Yarrowia lipolytica: one gene and its partners. The protein of the gene in region 2 binds, or shares a complex with, the protein of the main gene of each other region. Links are inferred from orthologs where the notes say so. Each region holds a gene or a part of one and is shown on either strand. Other genes may lie near its edges.

Region 1 (2,437 bases), about 1.5 Mb from region 2:
TTGACGACTTCATTGATTTCGGTGGAGTCGTCCTCAAGACTGTCACCTCTACCCTTGACATCATCACTCACCCCGACAAGTCCAAGGGCACCGTCTACGACAACCTGCAGAAGGGTGTCACCCAGATCAACAACCTCTTCCCCACTCTGATTGACGACCTCAAGACTCTGCCCATTGTCGGTGACGTCGCCAAGACCCTTGGCCCTCTCATCATCAACCCCCTTTCCGAGGGCTTCGCCAAGGTGATGCAGCAGATTGCCATCACTATTATCTCTCTGTTCACTGACGGTCCCATCTCCACTATTGGTGACGTCTTCAGGAGCCTCTTCGGCAACTTCCTTGACTTTATCAAGCAGTTCATTGGCTCTATTGCCAACCTCTTCCCCTGGATGCACTCCGAGACTTCTTCCATGAAGTCCGCCTCTAACCGACTTGATCAGGCTTACTTCTCTGCCGCTAACAACTAAGCGACAGATACCCGACGATTCCATTAATTTAATTTATAACTCTACTTCTTACTCTCGGATGCTCGTAGATAATGTAGAAGTATCTACTGTGCAACCCTACTCTGTTTAGATCGACAAACGAGTCAAATAACATGAAGATCAGATGACTACGCCGCGCAAGGCTGTCCCTGAGAGACCGAGGGTGACTTGTATGAAATGGGGACAAAGTGTCCGTTTCTTGTATACTAGTACGAGTACTCGTAATTGAGCAGTTTCAGTGTCTGTTCAATGTCGAGCATCTCTCAGCCGACAACGAAACCTTCGTCTCGTATCATACGACCGAATCGGGGTTTCTGAAAGGCCTAAACTCTGCTGCAATTTGGTGAAAAATACATTTATTATGTATGTACTACATCAGCGGGCTTTACAAGGTGGTTTCTTGTAGAGTCTCTACGAAACAGCTTGTTACAGTACCCTTACAGTATCTCGTTGAAAGCCATTTTTTATCTCTCGTAAGAGTACTCAGAGAAGAAACCATTTATATGCCTCTGGTTGCAAGCCTCACAATGCAATGACAGTATTGCTCTATTGCTCTTGTTTCTCTCAGCTACAAGTACCGGTACCCAGGCAAGGACTCTTCCAAGAGACGATCCCCAAGTATCCCCGGATATCAAGTTTACCAAAAGTCTACAGCCGGTTTTAAAGGTCCGAAAGCAAGCGTAAGACTATTGGGGGTGATAAGAGCACGTGGAAGCTCATAGGCTTCAAGTTTTATAAATCGAACGACTCACACTTGGAGCACATGATTGGATTAGTAATATGCAATGAAATATCCATTTCAACGGCTCTCGTATTGTTCTCTGATCTATCCATCTTATTCCACATTTAATCACATTTAATCACATTTAATCACATTTAATCACATCTTAGTCACAATCCAACAAAGTTCAGGACCTACATGCAACCGTAGAAACGTTTCACACCAATATCAACCATGCCAGGCAAATACACACTGTGAGTAGGAGAATGTGGGGGAAGCCACAACACTCGCTTTGGACACGAACTAACACAGTGACGTGGAGATTCCGTTCCCCAATGACAGACAGGCTCAGATTGTCTGCACCACAATATCTCAGGACAAGCCTCTCAAGGCCGACGAGCTGAGCCATGAGTTGACCACCAAGGGTTCCAGTCTGTTGATTCATTTTGCCGCTGCATCTAACCGGTCTTTGCGAGTCGGTGTCAACAACATGATGGACAACATTGGCACTGCCATTGAGTGTTTGGACGAGCTGGATCTCGACAAGTTTGGACCATAAGTGAGAGATAGCGAGTGAAGATGGAGGGCACTTATGAGGCCGCAGGAGGGGCACGGCGGTGTCAAGCTGGCATACTGGCACCTCAATATCTGGACAGAGTGTGATCATTTCCCTAGCAACTGATTAGTCATCACACAAACGCCGATGTCTGAATAAATTTCCCTAGATTTGCAGCAGTTGTAACTGTCCCTGGACGGCACCAGAGGCAAACCTGCGAACCAGAAAAGGCAAACGTGTAAAACCAATAAACATCAAATAATCAGCTAGTTCGGGTGTGATATCAAGGACCAATGGTGTAGAACCGTTAACAAAAACAAGTACAGGTATGTCGTGTGTGAGTGAGCATTGTCATGTTGCATGCCACCTGAGATAGGTGAGGAAGACGCAGATCTCATTGCAGCCATGTCTCAAGAACTGATCAGACAGGGAGGCCATTCTTGTTACTCATTTTAAAGCATAATGACCAACGCCGTCTCCAAGACTAATTGAGATTGTTACTGTAGACTAATTTACGGTGGCAATTTCACAGAAATTACGGCCTTCCCTTTGTGGGCGTCCCAACTGACTAAGCAATCGTAAGCGCAGTTGTGTATGTAATCCTAACTAAGGTAATTTATATCACTCAGCATACGTACATTACGACCAGCAGCAGCCAAGACGGAAATATTGCAC
Region 2 (2,198 bases):
TCTCCGAGGATTTCAACTGCGCGGTGAGAGGTGACAATCACGGCGTCAATACCATCCACCTCGTTGGCAATGTGTGTTTTGAGAGATTCGATTCCGACCGGAGAATGCTGCAGAAGAGGCACAAAAACAGCATTGTGACCCTTCTGCTCGACAAACAGCTCCTGGTAGAAATCTCGCGGCGTCGTAGGGTTCTTGAGCAGTAGGATGTTCATGATTTCCCGGGGTTGCGTGTAGCTGTAGAGAGATAGAGCTGAGTCAGATCTGGGGTCTGCATGCTGATGATCTCAAGTCACGTGATACAAATCTACGTATATCTGGAGATGGTGGATTGTGGGCGAAAAACGAAAGGGGAAATGGGCTAAGAGCACGCTGTTGCTCCTTAGGACATTTTTCACCGTTCTATGAAACTGGACATTGTCATTGGATGGTGGAAAGTGTGTGTACAATGTTAGGGTGAAACTTCTGATTCTTGTAGCACTTTTGGGAACAGGAGAGGCACTGAAAGATGGTATATTTGGCTGTGAAGACCTATTAGTGAATACATGATCATATTGGATATATCATTCTGATTCGATTAATGTTGAAAAACAGTCATTTTGAGGCTTCTTCACACCCAAATAGTTGTTGTCGTCAGGAGAAAAATGGTCAACTAAACTCAAGTATATTATAGAGTAACTTCAAGTAAGAACATGTCCACTCCATATATCCCCCTGGGGAGATAAATAATACAATAAAACCTGATGATATCAAAAAATCCAACATTACCTATATCCATTTGCAACTCTTCTCTCATCTCCCCTATACCCCATTTTACACCGGTCTAAATTCTCTCTGATCACATGACTGGAAATAAATTGTATCAAGCTGCATATCGTCTCCTAGCCTTAACCACCACCACCACATCATGATCACACTTCCAGAGCAGCTGGAGAAGCTGTCCAAGCAGGAAAATCTCATTGCACAAGGCGCTGAGTCGTTGGTGTATTCCGCCCAGCACCCCTACCTCCCCCAACAAGAATGCATCGTTAAATACAGACCCAAGAAGCCATATCGTCTTCCGGAACTTGATGCCCAGCTCAGCAAACACAGAACGCTGGCCGAGGCCCGGGTGTTGCAGAAGCTGGCTCTTGGAGACGTGGAAGTGCCCCATCTGGTCTTCATCGATGCCAAAAACGGACTCATCTACATGGAGAAGATCGAAGGTCTGAGTGTGAAGCAGTGGATCTGGAACGAGGAGGGAGACACCGAAGGAGGGGCCCAGGAGGCCGGAGATAAGAGCAGATCGTTACCGGATGGTGACGTGTCTTCTCTGAAGGACACCCTGGTTCTTGTCGGCCAAGAAATCGGCAAGTTGCATAAATCTGACATTGTCCATGGCGATCTGACCACTTCGAACGTCATGTTGAGAGACGGCAAGCCTGTCATCATCGACTTTGGACTCGCTTCCGTGTCCACTCTGGCCGAAGATAAGGCTGTGGATCTATATGTCATGGAGCGAGCCGTTCTCAGTACTCATCCTGTCCACAGTCAACAGTACTGCGACTGGTTGTTTGAAGGATACCTGGCTGTTGTCGGCAAGAGTCAGAAAGAGGTGATGCGAAAACTGGAGGATGTTCGACAGCGAGGACGAAAGCGGTCCATGCTAGGTTGAAGTGACGACTGCGTAATGAATTATGTACGAAAATCACAACAAAACCATACCTAACATGAATATTGATTGTATATCAGATATTGTACCATCGAAAGATGTTCGGAATTAGCATTCACACACTGCACAGACACATCGTCTTCCCGCTATTAGGTAATATACATTATGCTATAAGTTATCTACAACAATCCCTGACGCTTGAGATCCTCGTAGGTCTTCTCACTCATGGCGTTTCCATCGCTATCCTCCACCTCGACAATGTTTTCTTCTCGAGTCTCCACCGTCTTGAGCTGTTTCTTCATTCGGTCCCACAATGCATTGGCCTCCTCAATCTTGGTGATGCCTTTAAATGCCTGAGACGGCTCGATACCAAGACATCGGAGTCCAAAGATGTGTCTGGGTGTGGAAAAGTGCTTGTCAAAGATCTTTCGGCCCCGGTAGGTGGTATTTCCACAGATCTCACATGTGTACTCAATTCCCAAACCATGCAACTTATACAGCCAGAAAGGAATGGGTTTTCCGTCCCACCCAAGAGGCAGCTTGAGAGGGT
Region 3 (1,989 bases), on a different chromosome or scaffold from region 2:
AGATCGTTGATTCGACCATTGCCGATCTTGGCTTCGTACTTGATGTTGAAAGAGACAGGGTCCCAGACCTTGACGTTGCCAGCCTGATCGCCGGAGCAGACATAGAAGCCTGAAGGAGAGAACTTGGCGACGGTGGTTGGCGCAATGTGGCCATTGAACTGCCGAGCCTCGTTGGGCTTGTCGAGATTCACCAGAAGCACTGCCTTGGTGTTGGCGTAAGCCACCTCGTTGGTCTTGGGGTTGTAGGAGAGATGCACGGCAACTCCCTTGGTGGTGGCCGGAGAAGCCACGGAGGTTTTAACTGGCGTTAGTGGGCTTCTTACGGGGATCTCTGGCATACTCACCTGGAGAAATCATTATACAATTGGTGCTGAGGTGTTTAGATGGATGCTGTTTATGTATCCAACTGGGAGATGTATGCAGCACCGAAGATAGAGTTATTAATAGGAGAGTGAAGGAGTGGTGGCAGGATGATTGTACATTACGTACTTGTACAAGTAGAATGATACCTGTCAATAGTTGAGGCAAATTTTGAAATTTGTGCTGCTTAATAAATCAACTGGAATGTTTCATAAACAATCGCTGTCTGTAGAACCCCTTCTTTCACAATACAGCACATATATCCCACGTACCAACCACCGTCTTACTTGTGGTAAGACCTCCGAAGTTTATCTTCCACCATCTGCAGGAAAATCCTACGAGTACCAGTATCTGGAATCCACACAGCTGAGTATCAAATTCCAGACTATCCTATACCCGAACTCTTCAAAAGCATTACGTTAGTCAGATCGTGTGATTCACTGCCACAACATGAAGTTTCCCCAGTTCGACCAGGAGATTGCCATCTCCTACTTTTCAGACGTCAAGAATGCCGGCCAGATTCGAAACGAGCTGTTAAGCGGTAACCCCGACTACCAGGTGGCTTTCATTAATGCCAACACATTGCTTTCGTCCAAGCATCTGCTCGCAGCCGTCTACAGAGCCGTTTCCGATCAGGAAGCCGGCTCCATGAAGACAAAAAACGTACACTCAGAGGTGCTGTTCTGTCTGGGAGGGAATAACAACATCATGGACTCTCTAAGGAGATTTGGAATTCAGGACGATACCACAAACATTGTGGCTGTCAAGATTGGCGGAGGAGAGTACACGAAGCTGGTTGAGGGAACCGAAGAGCCCTTTACTGACGAGCAGATTGCCAAGAACACAGATATCAAGCTCGTCAAGAAGGTATACAAGTTACCAGGAACAGTCTCTCTAGATGATAGAGCTCAGGTGGAGACTGCAGCCATTGGAGCTCTTCTGCTACGTGGATTCAGCTAGATGGAGCCGCGGACGGTCGTATTTATGAAAACAAACTTGGGCAACCATAACAAATGCATTGTATAAACACCATTCTATTAGCTGATTACTGTACAGGTACCGTGGCTATAAGTACAATTACCTGCTACAAGTAGTATACACAAGTCATAAATACTTCATTGTTGTTCAAATATAATGCATATAAATACTGTTGTTATACCGTGGATTCCACCTTGACCTGTATCGATGGCTCTTCCAGCTTGACCGGGTCTTCTTCTGTCTTGACAGGTACTGCTGTGCCGTTGCTGTTGCCATTCTCTTCAGCCAACAGCTCGGTCTGAACATCCACACCTAGACCAAAAAAGGCCTGTTGGAGAATTCTTGCGTATGCTGCCTTGAGAGTGAAACCTCCGGCCTGATGCTGAATGTCATGGGCCAGAGGCTCGATGACCTTGTCGTCGTAATGGTCCTGTACCTCAAACAGCGCGGGAATCTGCCTGTCACCGTTGAAGGGTGTGAAGGGCGTCTCGGGCTTCGAGCTTTCCTTCTTGACCTTCTCAAAGTACCGAGATGTAGGCATGGGTTGGAAGTTGACTGTTCGAGCTGAGGATCGTTTGAGAGCTGTCTTCTGGACATTCTGCTCGATGGAAGAGGCATCCTTGTTGGAAGTGGCGAGCTGATGAACCAGTT

The links.
Region 1: YALI1_F13046g (region 2) and YALI1_F28212g share a complex: the UniProt entries of both Saccharomyces cerevisiae proteins name them as parts of the EKC/KEOPS complex. The link is inferred for Yarrowia lipolytica from reciprocal best matches to the Saccharomyces cerevisiae genes BUD32 and PCC1.
Region 3: the proteins of YALI1_F13046g (region 2) and YALI1_E02372g are in contact, whole or in part, in a crystal structure (PDB 4WW7), measured with the Saccharomyces cerevisiae proteins. The link is inferred for Yarrowia lipolytica from reciprocal best matches to the Saccharomyces cerevisiae genes BUD32 and CGI121. Residues at the interface, in NP_011778.1 of Saccharomyces cerevisiae: Tyr12, Leu13, Thr14, Asp16, Val17, Thr35, His36, Pro37, Tyr38, Leu39, Pro40, Ser77, Arg78, Ala81, Tyr84, Leu85, Pro87, Val91, Pro92, Gln93, Leu94, Ile95, Ala96, Cys97, Asp98, Pro99, Tyr100, Asn101, Trp105, Glu107; in NP_013676.2 of Saccharomyces cerevisiae: Ser4, Ile6, Pro7, Gln8, Pro10, Gly50, Glu51, Tyr54, Ser55, Tyr58, Lys59, Ile62, Glu63, Tyr66, Asn67, Asp159, Phe160, Gly167, Arg170, Ala171, Val173, Asp174, Gln177, Leu178.

Annotation. Positions count from the first base shown.
Region 1 is NC_090775.1:2,820,320-2,822,756, reverse strand, and holds YALI1_F28212g (uncharacterized protein), read left to right. Parts: upstream 1-1,440; coding exon 1,441-1,460; intron 1,461-1,518; coding exon 1,519-1,765; downstream 1,766-2,437. Other genes in the region: YALI1_F28222g (uncharacterized protein), read right to left, coding at 1-491. UniProt on the Saccharomyces cerevisiae protein: Component of the EKC/KEOPS complex that is required for the formation of a threonylcarbamoyl group on adenosine at position 37 (t(6)A37) in tRNAs that read codons beginning with adenine.
Region 2 is NC_090775.1:1,303,768-1,305,965, forward strand, and holds YALI1_F13046g (uncharacterized protein), read left to right. Parts: upstream 1-904; coding exon 905-1,651; downstream 1,652-2,198. Other genes in the region: YALI1_F13039g (uncharacterized protein), read right to left, coding at 1-212; YALI1_F13072g (uncharacterized protein), read right to left, coding at 1,828-2,198. UniProt on the Saccharomyces cerevisiae protein: Component of the EKC/KEOPS complex that is required for the formation of a threonylcarbamoyl group on adenosine at position 37 (t(6)A37) in tRNAs that read codons beginning with adenine.
Region 3 is NC_090774.1:236,068-238,056, reverse strand, and holds YALI1_E02372g (uncharacterized protein), read left to right. Parts: upstream 1-810; coding exon 811-1,320; downstream 1,321-1,989. Other genes in the region: YALI1_E02377g (uncharacterized protein), read right to left, coding at 1-338; YALI1_E02355g (uncharacterized protein), read right to left, coding at 1,514-1,989. UniProt on the Saccharomyces cerevisiae protein: Component of the EKC/KEOPS complex that is required for the formation of a threonylcarbamoyl group on adenosine at position 37 (t(6)A37) in tRNAs that read codons beginning with adenine.